Linked DNA regions of Sus scrofa. The protein of the gene in region 5 interacts with the protein of the main gene of each other region in a pairwise test. Links are inferred from orthologs where the notes say so. Each region holds a gene or a part of one and is shown on either strand. Other genes may lie near its edges. The genes, in order: TDRD7, melanoma-associated antigen B18-like, IL16, LMO1 and GABPB1.

What was found.
Region 1: the proteins of GABPB1 (region 5) and TDRD7 interact in binary tests that used the Homo sapiens proteins (3 or more experiments, as listed by UniProt). The two-hybrid records come from large-scale screens. The link is inferred for Sus scrofa from reciprocal best matches to the Homo sapiens genes GABPB1 and TDRD7.
Region 2: the proteins of GABPB1 (region 5) and melanoma-associated antigen B18-like interact in binary tests that used the Homo sapiens proteins (3 or more experiments, as listed by UniProt). The two-hybrid records come from large-scale screens. The link is inferred for Sus scrofa from reciprocal best matches to the Homo sapiens genes GABPB1 and MAGEB18.
Region 3: the proteins of GABPB1 (region 5) and IL16 interact in binary tests that used the Homo sapiens proteins (3 or more experiments, as listed by UniProt). The two-hybrid records come from large-scale screens. The link is inferred for Sus scrofa from reciprocal best matches to the Homo sapiens genes GABPB1 and IL16.
Region 4: the proteins of GABPB1 (region 5) and LMO1 interact in binary tests that used the Homo sapiens proteins (3 or more experiments, as listed by UniProt). The two-hybrid records come from large-scale screens. The link is inferred for Sus scrofa from reciprocal best matches to the Homo sapiens genes GABPB1 and LMO1.

Annotation. Positions count from the first base shown.
Region 1 is NC_010443.5:239,283,308-239,289,766, reverse strand, and holds the start of TDRD7 (tudor domain-containing protein 7), read right to left. Parts: upstream 4,053-6,459; 5' UTR 3,959-4,052; intron 1-3,958. UniProt on the Homo sapiens protein: Component of specific cytoplasmic RNA granules involved in post-transcriptional regulation of specific genes: probably acts by binding to specific mRNAs and regulating their translation.
Region 2 is NC_010461.5:22,080,203-22,085,245, reverse strand, and holds melanoma-associated antigen B18-like, read right to left. Parts: upstream 2,330-5,043; 5' UTR 2,235-2,329; coding exon 1,206-2,234; downstream 1-1,205. UniProt on the Homo sapiens protein: May enhance ubiquitin ligase activity of RING-type zinc finger-containing E3 ubiquitin-protein ligases. Proposed to act through recruitment and/or stabilization of the Ubl-conjugating enzyme (E2) at the E3:substrate complex.
Region 3 is NC_010449.5:50,098,423-50,104,122, reverse strand, and holds the end of IL16 (pro-interleukin-16), read right to left. Parts: intron 5,353-5,700; coding exon 5,094-5,352; intron 4,866-5,093; coding exon 4,740-4,865; intron 2,258-4,739; coding exon 2,064-2,257; 3' UTR 1,777-2,063; downstream 1-1,776. UniProt on the Homo sapiens protein: Interleukin-16 stimulates a migratory response in CD4+ lymphocytes, monocytes, and eosinophils. Primes CD4+ T-cells for IL-2 and IL-15 responsiveness. Also induces T-lymphocyte expression of interleukin 2 receptor. Ligand for CD4.
Region 4 is NC_010451.4:1,075,754-1,081,498, reverse strand, and holds part of LMO1 (rhombotin-1), read right to left. Parts: intron 3,893-5,745; coding exon 3,679-3,892; intron 1,355-3,678; coding exon 1,229-1,354; intron 1-1,228. UniProt on the Homo sapiens protein: May be involved in gene regulation within neural lineage cells potentially by direct DNA binding or by binding to other transcription factors.
Region 5 is NC_010443.5:121,475,895-121,481,639, reverse strand, and holds part of GABPB1 (GA-binding protein subunit beta-1), read right to left. Parts: intron 3,305-5,745; coding exon 3,119-3,304; intron 1-3,118.

The DNA.
Region 1 (6,459 bases), about 120 Mb from region 5:
CCAGAACCACAAGACCCCCAGTCTTCCGGCTCCCAGACTTAAGGCTTCCTTTCAGACACTCCAATGTATAGAGTTGGCTTCTGAACACAAGTTCGACTTGGGGGACACAGGGAACAGCCCTGGGGCATTCTTAGTGACTAGTACTTCAAGGGACCTTAAACGGGCATCTGCCACACAGTGTGATTTAAGGATGCGGCACCCAAATCCAAAAGACCTGTCAACTGCTGCAAAAATCCAATCCTTTTATACTGTTCCTTTTCTATTTTGCTACACAATTAATCACGAGTGCCCCCAAATGTTAATGAAGTACAAAAAGTGGGGCAAGGAATAGGGGAAAGTAATGACAACCTGCAGGAAAGCAAGGTTTAAACAATGTGAACAGCCTAAAATAATTTTCACACTCAAAACTGAAGTTTGCAAATGCACAACATTTCTAACACACCTGACCCTGAAAAGGGTTCTGGGAGAGTCTTATTCTGAAGAGCCAGGTTTGGTGTCCTCTAGATACCTGCTTTTACCACTGGCTCGTCCTCCCTGGCTCAGTCATGTGCATGTGATGTGCTTCCTGAAGCTGGAGCTTCCTCCCTCCTGAGGCCCAGAGACCTTTAGCCAAGCTGATCTCCCTCCCATCTGTGCTCTCTCCGCTCAGCTTCTCTTTTCTCAACTATTTCCAGCTGCATTATTTGGCTCATCTTCCCCATTGCACTTTTCGTGTTATAAATTCGATTTGAAGAGTGGCACTAAAAGCCCAAATAAATCGGAAGAATTGTTAGGGTAAACTGAAATCACCATGCAATCTCTCTTACCTTCTTTAGTCAGCTACTCAATTTTTATTATTCCCTTAAGGCACATACTTCTGGTAAATGGCTGCCCTTCTCCATGCAGACACTATCTGTAGCACTAAGCCAGGCCCCTAAAACCCAGAATGTCTGTGCTGAAAAGATTTTAGGCATCCTCCAGTCTATCCCAAATCCCTCATTACAAAAAATCAATAAACTGAGCCTCAGAGAGGTAAAGTTTTGGTGATTTCTCACCTTGCAACAGTTTAATATATTATCTTTTCTTTCCAACTGTAGTCTATTTGTTACACCTGAATTATTCCTTTATCAATTCTTCTTAAAAAGAAAGATAGTTATTAATGCCCTCGGGTAGTGATATTCTCCCTCAGGGTAACTTCAGAGAGCTGTTTCCTATTCTTTTTTTTTTTTTTTTTTTGTCTTTTTGCCATTTCTTGGGCCGCTCCCAAGGCATATGGAAGTTCCCAGGCTAGGGTCTAATCGGAGCTATAGCCAACGGCCTCTGCCAAAGCCACAGCAACTCGGGATCCGAGCCGCTTCTGCAACCTACACCACAGCTCACGGCAACGCCGGATCCTTAACCCACTGAGCAAGGCCAGGGGTCAAACCCGCAACCTCATGGTTCCTAGTCGGATTCATTAACCACTAAGCCACGACGGGAACTCCTTCCTTTTTTTTATTATTGTAATTTCAACCTCCAAATTATACATGCATTACTAATTACACAGTATGAATAAATAAGGGCTTTCCATAAATCTACAGGCCAGAGGAAAAAACCCTGAGATCGTAAGTGGCTTAGTTAGGAGTTTGGGTCTTAATGCCAGTTCTGATTCTAATTAGGTGTGACTCTGAGCAAGTCTCTAAGTCACTTTTTTCATATGGAAGAAAAAGAGGATGGACAAGATCCACAGTTTCCAACTTTCCCTGGTTTTCCTTCAAGGGCAAAATAGGGTCCAAAGATCTGATGGAAATCATGGGTGTGCTTCCTGTTGACAAAGCAGCAGAGCTAAAATACTGAGTTTACTCTGGGGTCACGTTGAGTGTCTTGTGCCGATCAGAAGCATTAACTGCCATACATCCTCACACATATTTTCAGTTAAAAATGACAAACTGCCTTTAAATTGTTTGTATAAAAGGCAATATTTTGTAAAAAACTGGCCCAATAGGGGAAATAATGAAAAGAATGAAGCTTCTAAAAACACAAAGGCAGGAGCAGGGAGGAGAAAGGTAGTTTTCCATCAAGAAAGAAAAAAACCAATTCACATAGATATGAAATGAGATTTCACTCCAAGCACCAAGGAACCTCTGTCCGTTTTGTATGTATCTGCTGACCCTGAAGCTTTGCCCAGAAGCAAAGCATTCATTCTATGTCAAATCTCGGTTCTCAGAAATAGCACTTGCTCACAGAGTCAGCACTTAAGAGTTGGATTCTATTTTTCCTTTACATTCATATGAAGTCTCTAACTAGACTGTACTGCACTGAGAACTTAAAGAGACATCCTTCAAAGAGTTAAATCTCTAGGTACAAAATACAATAGTTCATTCAGCCATGTTCAACTAGGACACTTAAAAGGGCATTAGCAGGGATTACATTTCATTTCCAATCTACAGGGGCTGTAATCTGAAGGCACCACCAAGTGCTACTTCACAGTCTCACTATGTTTCTCTAGCACACAGGGAGGCTGTGGGCTGGCAAAGGGCCCTGGACGGGAGGCACAGGGGATGTAGGTTCTACCCCGGTTGGCTCCACAGCCATTTCCCGCACCAGCACAGTTCATGATGCTCCCTGAATGGCAGTTGAGTGAACGTGCAGAAACCTCCACCATGGTCCAATTTATATGATAGACAGAACTTAAAGTTATGTCCCTGCCTCCAAGAGAGTGAAACACAATTATGTAAAATATGGGAAGTCTGGTGGAAGGAAAAGAGTTAACACTTCTTTATTACTATGAGTCAAAGGGACTACAGTAGTTATTTCACAAAAGCCTTGCAAAGTTAAGTATTTCCAATTGATAAACAGAAAGCCAGGCTCAAAAACACTATGTAATTTGTTCAATTTACACAATTACGAAGTGGAGAAGCCCAGAAGCCAAGTCTGCAAAGCTCCCACTATGCACAGTATGCAACACCAGCACATCAAAGCAGATGGGGAATAGGGACTTGGGTCTAATTTTCACTTCGGTCATTAAATTGTCATCTATCACAAGGCAGGGCACTTTTCAGCAAATTTTCCACCTGCACGAAAGTGGGGAAGGAGGGATGACCCAGATCAGTGGTATTTTTGTTTTCGTTTTGTAGGGTGGCTTTCGGGAATCTTTGGGGCCAAGACGTTTTCTAACATCGCTGTTTCCCTTTCCAGTTCTTTGAAATTGTTTGGGAGTGAGTGGTGCCCTTGGTTATGTATGGAAATGTACTGCACCTACCCCCTCAAGGAGATCTGAGCAGAACAGTCATGCGGGCTCCGAGCCCTTAAACTGAGGCTGAGAACCTGACCCTGTTGGGGGTTCTGGCGAAAGTAAAGAGACAACTCACTCTTGGATTCATATTTCCCTCCTTACTTGGTGCTCTGTACCCACCAGGTGCTCGCGGTTTAAGAGAAGCGGATAGTTATTTGTGTCCTACATTACTTAAGCGGCTTGCAGGGCTGGTCTGTAAAGAGAGGTCCGTGCCTTTAAGGAACTTAAAGTTCACGGTGTAAAATACGGGAGTTCAATAGCCAGGGGGCCCGGCTATCCCTTGCTCCAAGCGGGCGGCTGGGGGCCCCTGCGCCGGTACCAGGAACCACTTCCTGGTCATCATCTCCCGCCCCCTGTCCACACCCCCCTGCTGCATTTCCCCACTGCACTGAGTTTCCCAGGCGTCAGGGGTCCGTCCGACTCCCCAGGGGTGAACGCCCAGACAGCCCCGAGCGGTCGGGGGAGGGGTCCCATCAAAGATTTACAACACAACGCTCTGGAACTCCAACTCCCTGGAGCCCAGCCCGCTTTCCTGGGTGGAGACCGGGGCATCCTCTGCGGCTGCAGGGAAGAGGCCCGGGGTCCATTCGAGTCCCGCTCGGGCCACTGTTCCGCTAGCGACCCAGGTGCGTTGTGCCAGCCTGAAACCTCGCCAAACCTCGCCCGGCACCTGTCGTTTCTGCAGCCGGCGGGACCTGCGCTCACCTCGTTCTGGGGGCCTGCGGCCCGTCCCCGCGCCTCTGGGCCCGGCTCTCGCCGCCGTCTCCGCCAGGGCCACAGCCGCAGCCACCGCCCACTTTCGGTTTCCCCAGCACGGCCGGAGCCGCCGCTGCCGCCGCCGCCGCCGCCGCGGCTCGGGAATCACCTCAAGCCCCCGCCCCGCCCTGCTCGGCCCCGCCCCGCTCCGCCCCTCCCCGAGGGCAGCCCGGCTTCGGCTCTGCGCACGCGCGGGCACCCCGGCCGCGTCCGCCCACGCCGGCGTCCGCGCGTGGGAAGGGAAACCGACGCCGCCTAGCGGTTTCTGCGCGTGCCCACGCACGGGCCGTCGGCGGAAGACGACGGCAGGGCGGGCGCAGGAGCGCCTCCACGTGGACGATGCAAGAACGGGCGGGCCGGGAAGACCCGGGACCCAGCCCACTTCACCAGCACATGTGTGCGCCTGCTATTGCATTCGCGTACCCGTCAGATGTCTCATTCAGCTCTCGCTCAGTCTTTTCTTCGTTTCTGGGGCAGTTACTTTTTATTCTCTCAGACACCCACCTGGTCCGCTCATTTCCTTTCGGTCTTTTCTCAAGGGTTACCCTTTCGAGGAGGAGCCACCTTCTCAAAAATGTCTTCTCCTTCGCTAACATTCCCTGTCCCAACGCCTTCTCACCTTTCTCTCTCCTTAGCACCCGGGTAGCACACTCTATGTGTTTTACTTACCTTTTCGTTGTCTACTGTCCTCCTCAGATTAAAACTCTATGAGCTCAGGGATCTTTGTTTTGTTCCGTAATCTATTCCCAGAACCAAGAATAGTCCCTGGCACAGGGTAGGCTGACATAAACATTTCTCAAATTCATTTATTCATTCATTTGTTATAAAATTACTGAACACCTAGTATTCACTTTTTTTTCTGCACATTAATTCTACCAACATTTATTGGGCATATTGGTTTGTATTCCTTAAACCAACTATAAACACTTTGCTGCATTCATTCTATATGCCTTTACTGAGGGCCTACTATTTATTCAAACAGTATTTTTTACAGCTTTATTAAAGTATAATTGACATGCTACCCATGTTTAAAATGTACACTATGATGTTTTGACATGTGTATACAGCTGTGAAACTAGCACTGCTGTAAAAATAATGAACATATCTGTCTCCCCAAAAGAGTTTTCTCATGCACGTTTATAATCCTCACCTCATGTGCCTCTGTCCCTTGCCTTATCAACTGCAGCTTTGTTTTCTGTAGCTATAGATTAGTTTGTTTTTTCTAGAATTTTATATAAACAGAATCATATATGTGCTGTCTTTTTTGGGGGGGGGGGAATCCAGCCTCTTTCACTCAGCAGAAGCATGTTGAGATTCATCCATATTGCTGTGTGCACCAAGAGTTCAAGTCTTTTCATTTCTGAGTAGTATTCCATTGTATGGGTGTATGAAACCTACCATATGACCCAGCTATTCCATTCCCAGCATTTACCCAAGGGAAATGAAAACATACGTCCACATAATGACCTGGACAAGAATATTCATAGCAGTTTTGTTTGTAACAGCCAAACAGGAGAATAACACAGACCTCCATCAGTAGGCGAATGGACATTTGTATATTTGTACATACAACTACCCTGTACAGAACAACTGCTATTAATAGAGTGCCTACTATGTTAAGGCACAAGCCTGTGCTTGAGGAGCTTTAGATTCAGTGAAAAGAGGTAGTGGGCAATGAAGATGGAGATTGGAAACAGACTCTGGAAGGCCTGATAGCCATGCTTAGGAGTTTGGGCTTTTTTTCAAAGGCAATGGGAAACCGTTCAACGTCTTCTCTGAACACTGCTCTCTTTTTTATGCCCACATCTAGTCCCTGACTAAATCTGCCCAAATGTCTCTCCTTGGCAATTTTTTCATCCCCACTGCTGTATTTCAGTCTATTTCAGATATCTCTTTTCCTTCTCTCCCCTCCATTCTGCTCCAAACACTGCATTGGACTTAATAAACCTAATACACAACCAGATTCAATTTGGACTCTGCAGTGCTCATACATCCCCTGGCTTCACATTTAAGATTGGAAAGATGTAAAAAGCGGCTCCCAATTGAAAGATGGCCGGTTGGAGTAGGAAATTAGGACAAACTCCCAAGTCCAATATGTAAAATAAATCATGAAATGATGTGAGTTGACCCCAAGTCTGAGGCCCTTGCAAAAGGAGTCCATGTTTGGACTGGCCTATCTATAAGGATAAATGATGCTCTGCAGTAAGTTTTTTTAAAAATCAGTTGCATTGATTAATAGTTTACATATAATAAATATTTTAAGTGTACAGGTTAATGAATTTGACAAATGTATTCAATCATGTGTCCACCACCACAATGGAACCATTGAACTAATCCATTGTTTCAAAAAGATCCCTCCTGCCTCTTTACAGTTAATTCCCCCCTACCATCTCCAGCCCCCAGCAACCACTAATCTGATTTCCGTCACCATAGCTTTGCTTTTTTGAAAA
Region 2 (5,043 bases), on a different chromosome or scaffold from region 5:
CGGAGCTATAGCCGCCGGCCTATGCCAGAGCCACAGCAACTCAGGATCTGAGCCGCGTCTGCAAACTACACCACAGCTCACGGCAACACCGGATCCTTAACCCACTGAGCGAGGCCAGGGATCGAACCTGCAACCTCATGGTTCCTAGTTGGATTCGTTAACCACTGCGCCACAATGGGAACTCCACCTCCTTATTCCTTCTTAAGACTCCTTTAGGTATTAGAGGGTATTTCACCATCTTCTGTATATGATTACTGCTCCTTGGCTGTAAAATTCTAAAGGCAGTGGTGTTTTGTATCCTAGTTTCACCATTTCTAACACAGTAATTTTCAAAGAACATATGCTCATTTAATATTTGGGGAAGAATGAGCCAGTGAGCATGAGTTTATAAACAGTTTATTTCTCTTACATTCTTTAATAAGCTAAGCAAGTCCAGGTACATATCTTTTATTTTTTACAGAACAACAGACTAAAGTGGATAATGGAAACCAAGAGCTGCACTTTTTTTTTTTTTTTTTTTTTTTTTTTTTTTTTTTTTACTTTTTTCCTCTTTTTTTTGATCCCAGCAATTTTACTGCTCATTTTTTTTTTTCACATTTCCAAAGAAATGTCTATTACCATGCCAGGTTTTTTTTTTGTTTGTTTGTTTTGGTTCAGTAAATTTGAAAGGTTTCCCAATTTGTTTTATAAAATAATAAAACTCCTTAAATCTATTAAATTAAATCTAATAAATATGTAACTGAAATAATTAATAAATTTAGATTCTGCAATTATTTCTACCTTCTATTAAAGAAACAACATTTAAAATATAACCAAAGGAAAGAAAAAGTGACAGGAAGGAAGGGAGAGAAGGAGGGAGGGAGGAAAGAAAAAAGAAGGGACAAGAAAAGGAAGGCAAAAGATTAAACTATAAGTTTACCATAGAGAACAGAAACACAAAGATGATATACGCTGTGTTCTTTCCAGACCCACTGGTCATCCCCCACTTAAAATGTTACTGCTCTTTTTCCACAAGGAAAACAATATTTCTTAGATTTCATCATTCGAAATACAACCTAAAGAAAGAAAAAGAAAGGTAAAATTCCAAGTTAGCAATATATAACAGGAATACAACGATGATATACTTCTCAAGTCCCACCCTAGCCCTCCACCATTAGAACATTGCCACACCTTTTCAACCAAAAGTGAAGAACTGTCCTCGGACTTCACTTAGCATGGGAGAGGTTGCTGGCTGTGGCCCTGGAGCGCACACTGGCCATGGCCGCAAGTCGAGCCCTGGCTGCAGCTCTGGCTTGGGCTCTTTCTTCCTCATCTCTCAGAGCCTCTTCGTACCAGGATGGGAATGCACTGGGCACAGTATCATGAACCTTGGCTAAAAACTCCAGGACTTTCATCTTGCTGGTTTCAGCATGTGCCCTTGGGCCCCATAGGAACTCATATCGAGGAGGATCACTGTCAGGAACCTGACGGTACTCCAGGTACTTTAGCTGCACCAAATCTTCAGTGATAACCTTCTTGGGATCCCCATAGAGGAAGTGCTTCCTCTCAGCATATACACCCATCATATTCAGCACTTCCCAGATCTCCTCTTCAGGGGCACATTTGCCATTCATGAAGATCACACCCAGTACAATCATTAGAAGGCCAGTCTTGGGCATGTTCTCTTCTTCATTCATCGTTCCATCAAAGGTGAGGTCTAGTTTGCTGACAAGGGCATAGCAGTGCCTGGTAGGATCCACTTCCTTCAAATCAACACCAAAGGCCAGCTCCATGTGCTCAGAGGCTCTCTTGAGGATCTCATTGAAATGATATTTGTACTTTTTAATAACAAACTTCAGCATGTCTGCCTTCGTAATTGGCTCTTTTTTTTGATACTTTTGCAACAGGAACTGTACCAACAAAACCACCTTCTTGTTTAAAGGATCTCTGCGTGAGCCCTCAGTGCCCCTGGAGGATTTTGAGCTTTCCTCCTTTTGGCTGCTGGTACCTTCATCCGAATTGGTGCATGAAACAGCTGCACTAGCATCGGTGGTTCCCTGTGGCGCCTCAGGAGTGCTAGGTGTCTCAGCAGCAGATAAATTCTGAGGTCTGTCCTCAGTGAGAGCATGGACCAGGGACAGGGACTCTCCTGCTGCTGCGGCAGTAGCCTGAGCATCTTCCAGACCCTGGGTCTCAGCACGGGCCTGGCGGCGTTTCTCACGGGCTCGGAGCTTACTCTTCTGTCCTCGAGGCATGATGACTTTGGTCAGGGACAGTAGGCACAGTTGTTCAAGCAATTAGGTTTTTGGAGAGGTCGCCCTAGAAGACAGAGAAAGAAATGGTGTGCACAGCCTCAGCAGGGAGATTCTTCCACCTTGGCTGCCAAGAAAAGCTGCCTTTGCTGATTTTCTTAGGGGTACTGTTTTAGGAAACCACAAAACAAGGGTGGTGAGACTCTGTGGACCTCCTCTGATCTGCAGAGGCTTGTGATCTCAGTTCTAACCCAGTATACTAAACTTGGCTCCTGACCAGTCTTTTAACTCCTCCTGCTCTTGACTTGAGGCTGCCCCTTCAGACCAGGGCTTCTCACACCACAAATTCTCCCACTGAGAGTTGGGGAGGGGCATTGGGCCTAACAGCCCTGTTTGAGCCCCTTGGGGTTAAGGGTGGGGATGGAACATGTCAGAATATGGCGGGACTTTGCGAGGACACCTCAGTGCTGGGAGGAGTCTGTCCCTTCAGTTCAAACAAAGATTACTCACCTTGACATCAGTCCAATCCTGGAACTCCTCCCTCTGCTGATATGGGACCACACTCCTCAGACCTAGGCCTAAGTTTCCATGGCTGGTGTGGCAGAAATCAGGGTGAGCACTTCTTGCCACGCCCACCCCATCCTCCCAGCAGGAGTTATAGCAGGGGTGGGGTTATGGGGAGTTCTATCTCGGTTCTGGGAGACTGAGGAATCATGCAGAACTCTGGAAGGAGTTTTTCGTGACTCCTGACAGGGCCTGGGACTTCTTCCTCTCCTGAGATAAGTCAGCTGGCCTCTGACCAAGGTTCTCATTTCACTCAGAATCCCAGGTAGGAAGTAGGGGGGCACCTGAGTCTAATGGGACTGACAGTAGGGGCCCCTTTGTGGCCCCTTAATTTGGGGGGTTCCTCACTCAGTCTTCACTCAGTCCTCACTCAGTGTCTTACCTTGATGCCTTGTAGGTGCTGGGTTACTTCCTTGCTGATTCAGTGCGAAACCTATCAGGTAAGGCATAAGCCCGTAAATAATTTAAGAAGAATTGACATCTGTACAATATTCTACTCACCATAAATAAACATAATATTGTTCTATTTGAGTCTTCTTTTACCTTAGTGCATCAGTAATTTTTTTTTTTCTATTTGCTTCCATAAAGATCAAGTTTGTTAGTTCTCTTTTTAGGTGTATTTGGGATATCAATGCTATTTTGAATGGTGTTATTTTCTATTACATATTCTAATTAGTTATTTGTTTTGTGTGGAAAGAGTCTTGGTTTTGGTGTGGTGATCTTCTGTACCAGCTTGCTTAAGTTCCTTATATATTTTAATATTTGGCAGCCAGTTTCTTTGGTGTTTTTAATTAGAATATCATCTTTCATTATTTATAATTTTTATTTTGGTAATGCTGTGTATTACTGTATGTTGGCCATGCAATCCAGTCCAGGTTTGAATAGTAGAGTTGGTACCATACCTCTCTGCCCTCTTCTGGACTTTATTGGGACTGTTTCTAACATTTCACACTTACATATGTTTGCGCTTGATTTTACCATATGAAAATTCCATTCTAATGTAAGTTTTCTAGAAGTTATTACCATGAACTGGTGTTGAGTTTTTATGAAAAGTTCTTTACTCCTGCCAATGGTTAAATACTTTGTCTTTTCTGACTGTTAACATGCCGAATGCCAATACTCTTTGTTGGCAAACCATTCTAGAGGTGACACTGCAATTCTATTAGAAGATACATAGACTGTAGTTTCCTTTGTGGTGATATTGGCAGTCATTGAAGATCATCACTGCCATCCATTAATCCATTAGAGGCTCCTGAGTTTTAATTCTCTAATTCTATCATTCCTTCTCAAATTATTAGCTGAAATATAATATCTATAGGTAGAACTTTCTGTTATCCTTCATTTTGTTTTCTTGAGATCAGCCTTACAGTGGCCCTATTTTACTGCCAAAAGAGAGAAACAGAGAGAGACAGAGAGATAGAAAGAGATAAAAAAAGCTAAATTTTTATTTGTCTAATCAATATCAGAATATTCTTTCATTCAAAATTGTTTTATATATATTTTATAATCTTAGTAATGAAATATCTTGCTAAACCAGTTGAGAGAACTAAACCAGTTAATAACTGGCTGAATAATTCATCTGTTATTTATGACTATTAATGAGCAGCTTTGGAATAATCAGTGTTCAGACCCTAGTGTGTGTCATATGACACATTATATGTGCCTAAAGATAGTTATAATTTTAGGAGACATATAAAATTTTCCTTTGATTTATTCAAAGACAGCTTTCTTTGAAGGGATATGGTTTCTCTGCTCTTTCTAGATAGTTTACCATCATTATGCTAGTTGAGATTTATTTTTTTTTCTTTATAAGTTCTAACTTGGATTTTGCAAGTAGTATGCATGTAGACACAAAAACAGATTGTGGCACTCCTTCTTCTGGGTTCACAGACCTATTCAATATAGGACTGTCCTAATGGACTTCTTATCAGGATTCCACTAATGTGGCCAGTGCAAAAATACCTGATTTGTTTGAATAAATATGCTAGTATGTTTTTTCAATTTATTAAAATAATTTTTCCAACTTCTCATTTCACTTGCTAGTAAATTAAACATTTAGATTTTTGAGTGAATATTTACTTCTTGAGTAGGTAACATTTTTGGATGTCTCTAAGTTAAAGAGCCTGGAAATATAGAATGTTGTGTAGCAAAGACTCAAACTGTGGGTAAGGTGTCTTAGGTTATAAAACAGCTGTTAGCACAACCCAATGGAAAAATGGGCAAAAGACCTGAATAGACAATTCTCCAA
Region 3 (5,700 bases), on a different chromosome or scaffold from region 5:
TATTGGTCTTTCGTAAACTGCTTTTTGTGTGATGTCTGTGCTCCTTGCCATGTCTCCCTTTGCATCCTTATTCATGGGAGCAGGGGCTGGAGCAGGGAAGATACACTGTCCAGGCCTGGTCAAGGGATGCTGGGTGTTGTGAATGCATTTCCTTGTCCTGAACTGGACAAGCAGGCATTAAGTGGTGACTAAACCAAACAGCCCTTCTGTCAGGCACACACAGCTATTTTCCCTACAATGTTCTGTCTGCACTTAAAAGCATCTTGGCCTGTCTGTTAGTCTCTGCCAAACTGATAAGGATGGAGTAGGTACAGGTGGTTGTAGAAGTCCCAATAAAGGACCACAGATAATGAGGGAAACTTAGGGGACATTGGGAGATCACTGTAAGTAAATAAATTGCTCAAAAAAGCCATCAGAACAAGGCAGGCTTGACTAGTGGAGGTGCGAGAATTGTCTCAGGTCATTAGGTGGGGGATGGGATGAGGCCCGCATTCAGATTCAGACCAAGGGCAAGAGTTTGAAGACCGCCCTTCTGCTGATTTAAATACACACTTTACCTGATACGAAGGAGGAGCTACTGTGCCCAGAAAGGAAGAGGAAGGCTTTTCCAACCCCTACTCCCCTAGATGATAAAACTGTAGCCCACTGGATCCTTGGAGCAGAGCTTCCGTGCCTGCCCACTTGCACCTCTCACAAGCATCCTATCCTAATAAATCTGTTTCTTGCCTATCACTTTGTCTCTCACTGAATTCCTTCTGTGCGGAGGCATGAAGAACTGGAACCTCAGTGAGTCCAGACACAGGGTGAGTGATTCTAATTGAAAACTGTGGGTTCAAGTCCCAATCTGGGTTTAAGCTGTGTTGGAGTCCCAGCACGTGGGTTCAAGTCCAAGTCTGTGTTCTGGATGGGTTCAGGCCATTCATGCTGTCAGTTTCAAAACCACAGAAGAAAAGACTTGCCCTCTCCATATCACTTACCAGCTGGACAGGTTGCCTGTTGCCTCAGTAGATGTGGGCCTCAGTGCCCTCATCTATTCAGTGGGACAGTACCATGCTCTGTAGACACAGCTGTGGTTACTAAAGACCGTGTCTGCTTAATGCCAACATGGTACTCGGCACGTGGGAGGTAAATGGCAGCCACTGCATCTTGCCCTCTCAGACTCATGCCAGTCCATCCTGCGGACATGGCTAAGCACACATGGAGTTTCACCTGGACTCCCTTGCTCTGCCACCAGGTACCACCCTTGCTAGGAGCACTTCTCCAACCCAAAGACAAACAGTTTTGTAGGTGTTTTGTGTGATGGATTGTATTTTCCAAAAATAGCCCCAGCCATCTTTCCCTTTTCCCTAAAGCTAGGCAGGCTTGCACCAGCTCTGACTGCTCGAACACAGCAGAAGCGATGGACTTTGGAGGCAAGGTCCTGAAAAGGATGCAGCTCCTCCCTGGCTCTCACACTCTCAGGGGACGCCCAGCCGCTGTGTTGTGAGGAAGCCCAGGACACAGGGAGGGGCCCCCAGCAAGGGTCCCGGCCAAGAGCTCCAGCTGAGCTCCCAGCCAACAGCCAACATCAGCAGCCCCATGTGTGGGTGAGTGACCCTGTGGGTGGTTCCAACCCCTGGCCTTTGAGTTGCTCCAGCTGATGCCATGTGGAGCAGGATGAGTGGTCCCCTCCAGGCCTGCCACCAGTGCAGAGTCATGAGAAAAACAAAGGCTGCTGTTTGGGGTGGGTCATTGCACCATGAGAGGACTTGGAAAATCTGCAAAGCAAAACATGGATTTCCAATCAAATTGAAATAGATCCATTTTATTTACAGCACCACAATATTATCATGAAGCTCTCTCTATACATAGCCTGTAGTCTGTATCAGCCACCCCAGTGTGACTCTGCCGTAACATCTGGGACAACCCTCTTGCTGGGTAGTATCCCAGAAGGTCTGGACCCGGTAGCCACCAGGAAACACACCTATGCTTTCCCCCATCAGGTGGGGTTACAGTGACCCTGAGAATGAGCGGTTGTGGGGAGCTGTGTGCTGTTGGCTTTGGCATCAGCACTGGCACTCGGCCTAGGGGTCTCCAGCCCCTGTGGTCCCCTTGGACTGGAGGCTTTTCCTCCTGATGACAATCGTGACAGGTCCATCAGGCAAGGCCTTGATGATGTTCCAGGCTTCGAACCGTGTGAGGCCCTGCACGGCAGTGCCAGCCAAGTGTAAGATCTCATCTCCTGGCTGGATCGTCTCATTCTGTTCTGAGGCCGCCCCTGAGAAGAGAGAGGACACAATGGGTTCCACTAGTGGCAAGAGAATGAGGAGTTACCCTTGGTCTCTGAGGACCCGGGTCAGCTCAGAAGGGAGCTGGCACCCATCCCTCTGCAGCTTGTTTTGGTGAAGCACCTCCTCAAATGGTGTGCCTTCAAGGATGGCACACTGGGCTCCAGCTCTCTGCGGCCCCTGGGAAAAGTGAGCCCTGTGCTGTCTGCAAAGAAGGGAGGTTGCAGGCGTCTCCAAGCCAGAGCCTGGTTGGGGAGCCATCCACAGGGCCTAGGGGACTCTGGGAACTGAGTGCTCCTCCAAGCTTCCTTGGACACCATCCTAACACCCCACTCCTCTCCATGTGGTCTCTCCACTTCTAATGAGGTCAGCAGGCATTGAGTGGTGTTGGACCAGAGCTGGTGGGATTTTCATGAAACAATCCTCAAGCACTGTTGGCTCTGAATGGCCTGGAGAAGACCCGTGAGTCCAGGTAAAGACATAACCACACACGGCTCCCACTCTTTCAAAGCTACTTGGGGAAAGAATGCTATTTGGCTATTTACCTTGAAAGAAAAGTCTCCCGTCTCTTTGACACAATGATATTCACGGGTATTGAATAAGAGTAAAAAATAATGGTAATGATGATGATGAGAAAAATAGCTAAACTATATTGGGCAATTATATATAGAATAGTCCTTGTGTTTACACCTTGCATTTATGGCAATAATCCTCTGAGGTACCTAGTATTTGTATTCCCTTTTTCCATGGGAGGAAACCAAGGATTCTAATAACTCATACAAGCTTCAAAGCTGCTGAGTGGAGGGGCCTGGATTTGAACCCAGACTTTCTGACTCCAGAACTCACATACCCTGGTACCATATCACCCTGCAGCTCAGAGGTTAATCCCCATGTGAGCAAATGGGACCAAGATGGTGAAGGGACTTGTCCAAGGTCATGCTGCCATTAGTGGCAGAACTGACGCTAGAAGCCAGGTCTCTTGACTTTGAACCCTATGCTCCTTCCAAGCTGACCTTCAAAAGTTAGAATTGTTCCCGGAATTAGAATCAACAAGGATCCCTGGGGAGCCTCCCCCTGAGCCTGGGTCCACTCCCTGGGTTTCAGCAGCTGTAGTATATCTCCTGCTAACAAAACCAGTCTGCAGAAGGGCTTCCAGGGGGACAGGAAGCAGAGCTAGGAGAGCACTTGGGTCTCAGTACTAAGAGCTCTCAGACACACACCTGCACCTCTTTTTACAGATATGGTGCCCCAGGCCTAGAAGGCAATGGTCACTCAGCAAGTTAGAAGCAGAGCTGGGACTAGAACCTGAGCCATGACTCCCTGTCTACACTTCTGTGCTCTGTGACTCCGGGGGTCCAGCTTGAGAAGCAGTGAAGAATCAGGAGTGATTCTCTGTGAGAGTATGGGCCATTCATGATTTTCGCAGGAAAATCCAAGTGATCCCCCACTATGGACTGGCTTGCTCCCCAATCCATGAAGAATAAATCTCAAAGTTTTGATTAAAAGTAGGAGCTGAAGGGCCCAGGAGTAGGGTGAAGTGACTGAGGCCGAGTCGTGCAAGTGAAAAGTCAGACTCTGTATTTAAAACGTGATATCTTGTTCATGATGTATTTGTTTGTTTGTTTATTTGTCTGTTTAGGGCCGCACCCTAGTTCCCAGGCTAGGGGTCCAATCGGAGCTACACCACAGCTCACAGCAACACCAGATCCTTAACCCACTGAGTGAGGCCAGGGATCAAACCTGCTTTCTCATGGATGCTAGCTGGGTTTGTTGCCATTAAGCTGTGACGGGAACACCCTATGACGGGCTTTTTGAATTAATTTTGATGTTTTTAAAATATTGCATTGAAATAGTATGTATGTTGTATGTGTGTTGATGACAGTTTTTTGGTGCCCGCTTCAATTCTGTGCCCAGGAGAGCATCCCACTTGCCTCACCAAGTCCCAGTGCTGCCAAGCTGACCCAAGCCCAGTGCTCGATCACTTACAAACACCGAGAAAAACAGAGGGATTAGGGGATGTCTGAGCCAAAGGGAACAGGTGAAAAAAGAAAGTCGAGTCCTGGAGTTCCCGTCGTGGCGCAGCAGAAACAAATCCAACTAGGAACCATGAGGTTGCGGGTTCGATCCCTGGCCTTGCTCAGTGGGTTAAAGATCCAGCATTTCCGGGAGCTGTTTTGTAGGTGGTGGCAGATGCAGCTTGGATCTGGTGTGGCTGTGGCCCTGGTGTAGGCCGGCAGCTGGAGCTCCGATTAGACCCCTAGCCTGGGAACCCCATATGCCGTGGGTGTGGCCCTAAAAAGACCAAAAAAATAAATAAATAAAGTCATGTCCTTAACTAGGCCTGCCTGCCTTCCCAAAGGGCCTGGGACTGTGAGAAACTGACATGGCCTAGAGGGTGCCCAGAAGCCTTGCGGGGGCCTGGCCTGACACCCGCAGCTGGAGAGAATGACAAGAGGCAGACACACAGCCTACCTCTGAAGATCCTGTTAACCGTCAGAGGCTTGTCTCCGTGCAGGGAGCCCTTCCCTCCTTCCAGGCTGAAGCCCAGCCCCGCAGAGGTCTTCTCCAGGGTCACCGTGCAGACTGTGGCCTCTGCTGCTGAGAAAAACACAGGGGTTTTGTTAGGGACGCCCTCTTCTCCAGCCTACAGACAGGGCACATCACGCAAGCCTGGCTGATGCGGCCAGTGAACTTGGGCCCGTGCACAGATGAACCCAGACACATCTGAGCAGCATGCAAGGCAGCCCTCATGTCACCCAGCAGCTTCCCTCACGTATCTGAAGATGAGAGGGTCCACGGGGCTCCCATCAGGCACAGAGAACTCACTGGAGTCTATGGAGATGTCACTGGCCACAGAGACGGAAGCTGCAGAATCTGTGGAGGAGTTGAGGTCAGGCGAGGCCTCCAGGGTTGGCTTCCTTGTGACAATCACGGCTTGTCTGGGGTCCCGAGCTTGACGCAGGATGGCCAGGGCATCGTTGTGTGTGGCCCCTTTGAGAGACTTGCCGTTGATGGAAAGCACTTCATTGCCCTTCTGAATAGTCCCTTCCTGGGAGGCCAACCCATTAGGGAACACCCTGTGAACCTGAGCAAAGCAAAGACGTCAGGACCCAGGACTCACCATGCTGGATCCAGATTCTTGCTGGAGCAAGATTCAAACCAGTCAGTCAAACCCAGAAGGTACTATATATATACTAGATATCTATATCTATATCTACATATCTATATATATCTCCCAGGAGATTTTATTTACACACACACACACACACACACACACACACACACACAGAGCCTTGGCTTTTTTTAAATTTTAAATGATTTTTATTTTTTCCATTATAGCTGGTTTACAGTGTTCTGTCAGTTTTCTTTTTTTTTTAATTTATTTTATATATATATATTTTTTTGTCTTTTTGCCATTTCTTGGGCCGCTCCC
Region 4 (5,745 bases), on a different chromosome or scaffold from region 5:
GAGGGAGGAGAGGAGGAGGGGAGGGGAGGGAGGAGGGGGAGGGGAGGGGGGGGGGGAGAGGGGGGGAGGGGGAGTGGAGGAGGTGGAGGAGGGAGAGGGAGGAGGGGGAGTGGAGGAGGTGGAGGAGGGAGAGGAGGAGGGAGAGGAGGAGGTGGAGGAGGGGAATAAACTGGCTGACTTTTCCAATCCTCTGTTCCCCTCTCCAAGGTAAGGAAGTGGCTCAGTTAAGGGCACTCTTCTCTGAACAGAATCTGAGGTTTTCCCAACTACCTTTCAGGAGGAGGTGACCCTGACCCCCGCTTCTGTTCTGCCCAAAGAAAGCCCTATCCTGCCCCCTGCCCTTCCCGGTCCTCTTCAAGTCCTGGAGCGTTCAGCCCTTACCCCAAAGATGTCCCCAGGGTAGCTAAGGCTTTTCGTGGGACCCCAGGGTGACAGGCCCAGGCCCAGCCGATCCTCTTTCAACCACCAGGTGGCGCTGCAACTTCACCGAGCCCTCCTGGCGGTGGTCGGGGCAGAGCTTCCTCCAAACCAGCTTAGGTAGGTCCCTCTGGACCTCACCCTCTGGCAACGCTTGCATGAGCTCCTTCCTGACCTGGGGGCTCCTGACAAAAGGGCCTGCCTTCTGGGGCTCAGCCCCAGCCAGGGCTAAAGGGCTCTGGCTCCTCAGATCCCCGGGGCCTCCCACAGGGCTGGGGGCACAGTAAGCTGGGGCCAACACACCAGAGAGGGGGCTGGGCTGGAACAAGAATCACAGGAGCGAAATTCTAAAGGCTATTTCACCCTCCAGGTCCGGGAGCCCCTTCTCACGAGAACACACCTACGTGTATCCATAGGTAGCACACGCAGGGCTCTTGTACACGTACATTCAGAAACACGCGTGCACAGGCAAACTCACCCATCCTGCAGACAGCACACACAGACCCCTTGCACGTGACGTGTAAAAATGCACGCATGGCCACGACACAATGCGCATGGCTCATGCACGGCCCTGTCTGTTACGTCTGTGTGGAGCTGTGCTCTACTCATGGGCACACACGGTACTGGAGTGCACATACCTGGCTACCAGGCCCACGTGTACATAAAATGCACACATGCACATACATGCTCCCGGCAACACGCACACAGAGAACCCATGTTTGCATGCCTGCCTCCGCAGCACAAGAGACCTGGCAGCAGCTGGCAGCGGGGTCTGCTGAGTGCATCGGGCCTGTGGCAGCCCACCACCCACCTCTGGTTGCAGAGCTGGCAGGCGAAGCAGTCGAGGTGGTAGACGTTGTCCCGGGCCCTCATCACCATCTCGAAGGCTGGGATCAACTTGCTGCAGGCGGCACAGTTTCCCGTGGTGCCAAAGAGCCTGCAGAGGGAGGGCGCGGAGAGCTCAGGGGCCTGCGGGGGCTGGCGGGAGGGCAGGGGAGTTGCCTCCAGCCGGGGCCCCACCTGCCCCCAACCCCTGCGGTTCAGTAGGTGGGCCTGGGCGAGAGGGGAGGAAGACAGACGGAAGGGTCTAATCCCGCTAAGAGGTCCGGCTTCAGATCAGCACATCCTCGCAAGGAGGAGGCCTGGGCGGGCCTTGAGTTGACTCGCCCTCCTGTCCTCAGGCTCCCACTAGGGTCCCTCAAGCAAGCTCCCTCGGCGGCTCCCCAAAGAGCCCAGGCTAAGGACTCCAGATTCACACAAGCCTGAATTTAAAGGCAGTCTGCCTATTGTGGGCTGTGTGTCCTCAGGCAAGTCACTGGGTCTCTCTGAGCCTCACTCACTTCAACTATAAAATGGGGACCTAAATACATCCTTCGCAGGCTTGTGAAAACTAAACACTCAGTCACGGCCCTTCTGCAAATGCCCAGACGCTGCCTGCTACGTGCCAGGCACTGCTCTAGGGGCTTCTCACAGACCAAGTCATTGGTCCTTTTTCTGGTACCAGAGGCCTTTTTCTGGTACTATTTCAGGAACTCAGGCTGTGACGTCTCTCCCTTTTCCCTTTTCTTGGACCTCAGTTTATCCTTCTTTAAAGTGGGACTGTTGGACTAGACGATCCCGTTCAAAGATGCTTCTAAAACAGAACAGATGCCAAAAGGACCTTCCAAGGACGACTGGCACCTCCTCGTAGTTGCCAACTGCAAAGTTCCAAGGACAGAGGGCTCCTCCCTCCCCACACAGGCCCGCCCTTGGCTGGATGCGCCAGCGGTCTGCTCCCTTTCTGTACGGTGGCAGAGGAAGCCCCAAGTGAGGCGAGGGCCTTGAGAGGCAGGCGCGAGGCCCCCTAATCCCTGATTTGTCCGGAGCTCAAACGCAGGCACCTGCAGATGAGCTCGGCTCCATTATTCATCAGCCTGAGCTGCCTGGTGGCTCAGATTAAGGCAGACAAAGGCCGGGCCACAGCATCTGCCTGCCAAGAAAGGCCTTTCTTACCACCAGTCCAGTGGCTGCAGAGGGGCAGGCTCTGGACGGCCATTCTCTGGGCTGAGCAGCTCCAGGAAGCCCCAGCCCCACCCCGGCCCACTGCCCTACCTGGCCCCAAGGGCATTCCTTGGCCTCTGCCAGAGCCCAGGAAAATATTTCAGGCTCCAGGAGCTGGCAGGGCCCGGGAGGCTTGTGGGTGCTTGAGCTCTATGGACGGGCCCAGCCTGCATGGCAGTCCTCCCTCTCCAGGTCCTGTGGACTCGTCAGACGGCCTGCCATCCTCCCCTCAACCTGGCAGGTTCAGCCTCCCGGTGAGGTCCTAAACCTTGGACTTGGAGGCCCCTCCCAGGCTGCCGAGGGCAAGTCCCCAGAAGCAGGTGGGTGACCTCTCCCCTGACCTCGGCATCTCTCCTCCAGCGCCGCCAGGAGCCCTGAATCACTCCTCCTGGTTTTCAGCACCATTTAAAATAATAAAACAAACTCCTGCAAAAGGCAGAAGTTTTAAAAGAGAAGGAGCGGGCAGGTAAATCCTGGGGAAAGAGGGGAGCCTGTGTTGCTAACTCCCCCGCCCCCAGTCCTGGGCCAAGGGAGCCCCTGAATCCCTGGGCCCACCTCCTTATTAAGGCAGGGGGCCTCCGCCCCCACCAGGCCCCGCCCCACCCAGCAGCCTGCAGGGAGCCAAATGCAGACGCTGGGTCTCAGCCAAGGCCCCTGCTTTGTGGCCTCCTTCCAGCCTTGCTGATGTCATGCTCGGCCCGAGGGGGTCATGGGTGAGGCGGCCCGGGAAAGGGTCCAGGCTGCGGGGCAGGGGCAGCTGGAGCTCTGAGGAACCGAGGTAGGGTTCAAGTGCTGGCCTTTTCACCAGTCACCAAGGGGTAGACTGAGGCGGGGGCACTAAGAAGCCAAGCTCAGAACTGGTCCCCAGTGTGGTCTCTAAGCCCCAAGGTCAGAGGCTCTTCTGCTCGGGTCTGGCTCCCCGCCGGGCTCCCGGCCAGGGCGGTGGAGGAGTCGGGGCATCTTCAGGCCAGAGGGGTCCGGGAAGTCAGGGCTTCCCACCCCCCTGCTCCTGGAGGCCCCTCCGAGGGGGCCCCTTCCTGGATTCTGGGAAGCGGCAGACTCCTGCCCTGGGAAGCTTCTCCGGTGCCCATGGGCACCGAGGCCCGTCTGGGGTGGGGCGGGCACTGGGCCCGAGGGGCGGGGCCCGGGCTGGAGTGGGCGGAGCCGCACCGCCCTGGGCAGGGGGCGGCACGGAGGGGAGGGGCGGGGGGGGGGGCCCACCTCAGGTAGTCGCGCCGGCACAGGATGAGGTTGGCCTTGGTGTACAGGGTGGAGCCCACCTCGCCCAGGCGGCAGTCGCAGCAGGCGCACTTGAGGCAGTCCTCGTGCCAGTACTTGTCCAGCGCCTTCAGCAGGTAGCGGTCTTTGATCTTGCGGTTGCAGCCCGCGCAGCCCTTCTGCTTCCCTTTGGGCTGGACCGAGAGCATCGGCACGCCTGCGGGGGACAGGCGACAGACAGATGGGCACGGTGGGCCCTGGGGCTCCCCCCTCGGGGCCCATTCTGCGGCCGCCTCCAGGGCAGGGGCTCCCAGGAGCCGCCCTGTCTCCCCAGCAATCACGTTCCCTGGCCCCGGTCCGGCCTCCTCCCCACCCGGTGAGGGGCCCTCCGCAGGGCTGGAGCCCGCGTCTGCTCTGCTGCAGGCAAGCAGCGAGCCCCAAGGCCTGGCCCCCCACGTCCGGCTCTCCATCCAGCCACTGTGCCCTGGGCCCTGTGATCCCCAGCAGGCCCGGGCCTCCCCACGCAGCCACCAGCCCACGGGCTCTTTTCTGCAGCCCTAAAACAGAACCTCATCAGGGGGCTGATGGTCCATTAGGCCTTCCAGATCTTTCTGCCACCTGGAGACGTGCTCCCACTGCTGTGTACTTGACTAGATTAACCCAACACATGAGGCTACAGCCTCTTGGTCTGTTCACACAGAGCCGTGCAGGTGTCAGGAAGAAAGGGAGATGCCCCCCCCGCCCCGATAAACCCCCGGGTGGGCTGGGGCTGGGGCTGGGGCTGGGAGGTGCAGAAGCCCGGTTGCTCCTGCTCCCTACCTGCCCTGGCCTGAGGGAGGGAGGGTTCCCGCCTGCCTCTGCACCCTTGCTTGTCCTGCCAGGATAAGAACCTCAGGCCCAGGTGAGCTTCCCAACAGACAAGAAGGTCGCAAGGTACAAGGGCAGGTATCTCAGTGTGGCCTTGCCTGGAGGGAGGGGCAGAACTCCCACAGGCAAGCGCCCCGTGCCCACGGGAACAGCCTGCAGGCACGGGCACAGGTGTGTGCAGAGGCACAGGCCCCTGGTCCCCCTCCCAGGGCCACGGGGAGGAGCCGCCGAGAAGGAGGTAGGAGCAGATGTCCCGGGGGCCTGGACGTCCCTGTGTGTGTCCTCATGTGAAGACAAGGCTTGGGGGGAAGCACGGGGGGGCGGGGGCAGTCTCGAGCCTGGCTGGACGGCAGCCGCCTGTGAGAGGGGTCTCAGAGCCCCTCTAAAGGCAGTGGGGTTGGTTGGGGTGCTCGTTCCCTGACGCAGGCCCAAGCACACTGGGGGTCACCCTGGAGGGAACAGCACGCTCCTGCCTGCGTCCTCGGTTTTCCAGCCGCTGGAGGCCGCCCTCCTCCTGTGCCCACCGTGTCCCCTGGGCTCTGGGTTCGGCCCCCATCCCCGGCCTCCCTCCCCCGGGGCCTCCGCCAGCGCCCGAGCTGCTTGCTTTCCGTGCCCTCTGCCAGGCGGGGACCCTGCCTCCCGCTCCCGAGGTCCTCAGCCTCAGAGTCCACACAGGTCAGGTCGCAGGGGCCGGCCGTGTGCTTACAGGCAAACACCCTATTCTGCAGACGGGGAAACGGAGGCCAGACGTCAGCCCCGATCAAGCCGGCCTCCGGTCCTTCTCCCAGCCTCCCTGCCTCCTCAGACTCTCTGAAAAGGGGTGGCCTCCAGGGCCCAGGGGGTGGCCAGGTGAGGGCGGGAGGAGGCAGGGCAGGCGTGATGGGCTGTCTCCCCCGGCCCCGCCGGTCCCCATACGGCCCATCTGTTCACTAGGAGGCTGGCTGCCTAATTTCCTTAATGCAGCTCTAAAGGTTAATTGGTCTGCAGGAGCCATGGGCTCCCAGGAAGACAGTGTCCCTCAGGCCTGCCCAGGTCTCTGCTGACAGGGGCCAGCCCGGTCACAGAGCTCTGGCCTCCAGCGAGCAGGTGGGGGAGGGGTTCCAAGAGGTGGACGTGGGGAGGTCAGGGGGCTCCCAGGGGACAACCCCCGTCCCCGGGGCCCGTGGAGGGAGCAGCAGCACTGGCCAGCGTAGCTACACCTAT
Region 5 (5,745 bases):
AAGAATTTCAAAATACTGATTTGCTTATTATAAGAAATGTCTAGCTTTGTCTTCACTTTCTTGCCTTTTTACTAAAAACTATATTGTTTAAAGTAGCTACTTATTCTTTCAAATTTTTATAGACAACATATTCATTCATATGGCTCAAAACTGAAATAATATTTAACAAGAATATTTTAAGAGGTCTAACTCTATCTCTGCTAACACAGATAATCACTTTTATTGGTTTCTCTTATATGGTTCTTGTGTCCAACTACATAAAAACAAACATGAATACATACTGTATTTTTTCTCTATTACACAAAAGGTAGCATACATATAAAACATACATTCAAACATACATACAAAAGATACACTGTGTCTTTTTTTCACTCCATATAGCTAGGGTATCATTCTTCTATACAGAGAGCTTTCTTTAATTTAGCTGCATTATTTTTTTTTATGGGATTTTTTTTTTTATGGCTGTATCATAGTATTCCATTGTGTCTTTGTACAACATTTCTAATTTATCTGCATTATATTTTACTGTATGGATATACCATTAGGAACTCTGTTTGCAAACTTTGCTTGTTTTCCCATTGGGTTGTTGACTTAGTCCCAATTTTTAATATCTCTTTACATAAATGTAAATATAGAGAGAGCAAGAGGCTATCCTTGCTTTGCACAGCACTGGCGGAACATAAAAATGACTGTGCAAGATGACCATGCAAAGCAATCTTAATAATGAGGAAAATCAAAACTGCCTCATAGGCTTTAAAGTTTTTTGTCAAAACATTCCAAGCTCTCCTACTGTCCTTTATAAATGTAAACAAATGAAAAAAAATTAGTAAAACTATCACTTAGTACAATGTAATTAAAAACATTAAAAATATTCTGGTAGTTTGGGATTAGTAGATGCAAGCTATTACATTTAGAATGGATAAACAGTGAGCTCCTACTATACAGCACAGGGATCTAGTCTCTTGGGACAGACCATGATGGAAGCTAATATAAGAAAGGGAATGTGTGTGTGTGTGTGTGTGTGTGTGTGTGTGTGTGAATGGGTCACTTTGCTGTACATCTAAAATTGGCACGACAATGTAAATCAACTATAATTTTTAAAAATTAAAAAAAAAAAACCAAAAAAAAAAAATACTGAGAATTACAGTATTTCTTTTAACTTATATCACATTACACTTATAAATTTACCCAAGAAACGAGAACCTTTTATCTGTTTCATTGGACTGTCTACAAAGTCATACTGTCATATGCCAGTTATACATTCTTAAATTTTGGAGGTTGAGATTTATTTTAATATTCAGTATGTTCCTCTCATTGCTCTTCTTTTGCAGTGTTTCTTATTCTTCCCTCCCTCCTCGCCCCACCCCATCAATACAAACTTGAGAATCTGTTTGGCTATTTCCAAAAAAAGACTGGTCTTTACAATGGCCTGAATTATGCCCCCCTCAAATGTTTAAGTCCTAATCCCCAGTATTTCAGGATATATTTGAAGATAGGACCTTTAAAGAAGTGAAGAAGTAAAATAAGGTCATCTGGGTGGGTCCTAATCCAGTATGCCTGGTGTCTTTCTAAGAGCTTAGGACACAGACAACAAACACAGACTGAGGGAAGATTATGTGAGGACAAAGCAGAAGGCAGCTATCTGCAGCTAAGGAGAAAGACCTCAAGAAACCAAACCTGCCAACACCTTGATCTTGGACTTCCAGCTTCCAGAACTGTGAGAAGATTAAATTCTGTGGTTTAAGTCACCCAGGCTGTGGTATTTTGTTATGATAGCCCTAGTCTTTTTTTTTCATATCACATTACATTTATCAATTAACTCAGGAGGCATTGAGAGCTTCATGATAGTGACTCATCCTATCCAAAAACTTAGGTTTCTTTCCATTTGTTCATCAATGAGATTAGAGTTCATGTATAATCTCAGGTTTTAGAAACAATGTTATATTTGCTTAATGCAAATACTTTGGAAGTTTCCTCTCTTCCATATAATTAAAATTAGTTCTTTAAAGCTATGTGAAAGTACCTGGGCTTGATCCAAACCTTGGACCATGAGCAGATTTCTGCAGAGCAGGAGAGAAATGCCTCCCAGGCTTTATGGGTCAAGGGTTTCCTCCTCCACTGCTACAGGGACAAAATCTTTCCTTGACACCTGGTCTCTCTGCAGGGCCATACCTCCACTGTCAACTTAAACCAAACCTGATTTAGGAGAACTTCTACCTCTAGGCATTCCCGTTCCCAAGTCTTTCACAGGCCATGAAGAGACTCAGTCTCTGCAATCCTAGTCATTTTCTAAAAGGATGTATGTGCATGTACTTTTTGGGTGAGGGGGAGGTGGTACTGGGTGCAAGGGAAACCTTGCTCAGACAGTAACTTTCTGCTTCTCTTTCTGCTTCCTCCAGCTTTCACGCTCCAGTCTATTTTCACCCTACTTGACGGCCTTCCTGCTCAAACTGGGCCCTGTCTTGCTGGGAGTACATATTTATTGCTGATTTCCGAGCTCATCCTCTTTTCTTGATGCATGATTGTGGGTTTCTCTGAGGGTTGTCCTGCCCTGGTTTAGACCTTAGATGCTTTTGGCAGCACTTAAAATATGGAATTGTGCCATTTTCTCAGCCTTTTAGTTTCATTGAAAATGTAACTGGGGCTTATGTTATGTCCCTCTTATTACTAGTTTCATTACTCAAAAGGAAAAAAAAATGGGATAATTATCAACAAAGCTGCTAAAAGTTGCCACCATGTTCCTTCTCTAAGTGCTAAGTCCAACTTCTTTTTAAGTAAGTAGCCTTTTCTAACATGGTATTTTTAAAAGTTGGTATGATATTTGAATTACATTAAATGGCTTAGGAAAGTAGTGTCCAATGCTGACTTTGAATTATTTATTTAAGCTCATTTTCCAACCAGGATACTTTGGGGCCAATTCTTCTTTCCACCTAGTATACACTCAGAGCAAGCAGGCAAATTTAAGAGTGGCCTGAACAAATAAAATTAGGCAATTAAGTCTGTTGTAAAAGGTTACTAAAACATTATTTAAGGCAAAAATGAAGGCTTTGAAAAACATGTCACAATTTCCTGAGAATTAAAAACGAACACAAACTTTATGTAAATGCCTCCTACCAACCTTGTTGTCCATCTGGCATGGTCACAATGATGGGCTGACCTATTCCACTGGTTGGAATGGAGTGCAAATTTCCAAGCTGAATTCCATCTGTAACTATCGTGATGACCTGTTGACCCCCTGAACTAACTACTTGCTGAATTGCACCATCCACAGATTCTGCAGTAACTACTTCCTCTGTAGCCACTACTGGAAAAAAAAAAAAAAGTAAAAATCAATGAACATATATAAAAGTATGAACAGAAGTTTATTTTTGTTCTGCTATCTTTGCTGTCCTCTTTCTTATTCAGAAAAGCTTTTACATGGTTTTTAAATTCAGCTTCCAGGGGTGCTGTACATATCTATGTAAACAGTGGACTACAAGTCCTACAATTTACAATGAATTTCAACTATCTATGCATCAACATTTTAATTAAATAAACTATCTTCGGGGGTTCCCATTGCGGCTCAGCAGTAATGAACCCAACTAGTATCCATGAGGATGCAGATTCGAAGCCTGGCCTCGCTCAGTGGGTTAAGAATCCAGCATTGCCATCAGCTGTGATGCAGGTCACGGACATAGCTCAGATTCTGCTTTGCTGAGGCTGTGGTGTAGGCCAGTAGCTTCAGCTCCACTTTGACCCCTAGCCTGAGAACTTCCATATGACACATATGCAGTCCTAAGGAAAAAAAAAAAGGCAAAAAATAAACAGATAAATAAATAAACTATCTTAATTTAGTTCTATGAAGTATGAAACTTTTAAAACCTCCTAAGGTCACAGACATGACAAGTTACACCAGCTGAACAAAATTCCACAAAAGAGAAAAATACTGTATGTGGTTATATTCCATTCACACTTACATATGAGTTAATAAACATTTCCATATCCAAAAAAATATGGAAATTTGTATTTTTCAAGTAGAACCAAGAGTATTTCCCTTCTGGACTGTGTGAACAAGGGTTGCCTTGACAGTAAGTGGCATATAGATCTGGTACTGTAGGCTAGTGAATGATGCAATATATTAACATTTACATAAATAAAATCTCAAACTATGCTCTTGATACTTTATGAGGGGTTCAGAGAAGATTCTGGCAGCTGAAAACGGCACTTCTGGTCTTGCTGAGGTAAAGAAACTGCCAAAATCTTCTCCCAAAGGCAATCCTATGGTCAACTATTGATCCCAAAGGACAGACACAGGAACATTTATAGAAGCTTTACTCAAAAACATGAATAAATCATATATTTGTCAAAAGTAGAATGAAGAAATAAACTGTGGTAGATGCACTGGAATACTACACAGCAATTAAAGTGACTAAATGCAAAACATGGATAAATTGACAAAAATAATGCTGAGTGATGTAAATCAGACACAAAATACATATTGTGTACTCTCCGTTTATGAACTGAGCAATGATTACACAGAAACGATCACTAAATTGTACATTTACGAACAATGCACTTTTCCATGTGTCCATTACATGTCAATAAAAAAGCATCAAAAGGAACAATCACAGCAGTGGATTATAACACACTGAAGTTTTGTTTCATTTTGTTTTAGGGGCATACCTGCAGCATATGGAAGTTCCCAGGCCAGGGGTGGAATCAGAGCTAGAGCTGCCAGCCTACACCACAGCCACAGCAATGCCAGATTCAAGCCACATCTGCAACCTATACCAGAGCTTGCAGTAACACTGGATCCTTAACACACTGAGTGAGGCCAGGGATCAAACCCACATTTTCATGGATACTAGTCAGGTTCTTAACCTAAGGAACTGCCAATAACACACTCAATTTTTAAAAATCCATTTATCTGTGATAATACGTCATGAAAAAGGAGAGAAAGGGGGAAAGAGCAAAGATCTTCTTGATAGAGAAGAATTACATCTAATTAACAAAATGAGAAAAATTATCATTGTAATTTCCCAATGTAATAAATGATTCAGGCAAGCATCACCAATGGATGTTAAAAACACTGGTGATATGCTTTTGCCAAACAAATGTTCTCAAAGTATCACACCAAAAATTTGTAGTAGTTACAAAAGGGAGGATGTACCCATAACAACCTGGCAGTCACCACTCGCACCAAGTGTTCATTACAAGGATGGCCTGACATTATGTGCCGTCTGATGTGATGCAATGAGAGATTACAAAATACCACCTCTGTTCTTCCTGGAAATGTTTGGCCTGAATCTAATTATTAAGAAACTAATGAGGAGTTCCCATTGTAGCTTAGCAGTAACGAAACTAACTAGTACCTATGAGGACATGGGTTCGATCCCTGGCCTTGCTCAGGTTAAGGATCCACCGTTTCTGCGGCTGTGGTGCAGGCCAGCAGCTACAGCTCAGATTCAACCTCTAGCCTGGGAATTTCCATATGCCATGCGGATGGCCCTAAAAAACAAAACAAAATAAAACAAAACAAAAAAAAGAAAGAAAGGAAAGAAAACTAGTGAATCCAGGGTGATCCTGCAGACAAATGGCTTAGACTACAAAGATTTCAATGTCATAAAGAACAAGTGAGGCAGTATTACTGTCCTAGCCTGGGGGAGACTAACGAGCCATAATAATTAAATACAGTATTAGAACTTTTATTGGATCCTGATGAAAAACAGTCATAAAGGAATTTGGGGATAATTGAGGAAACTTGAA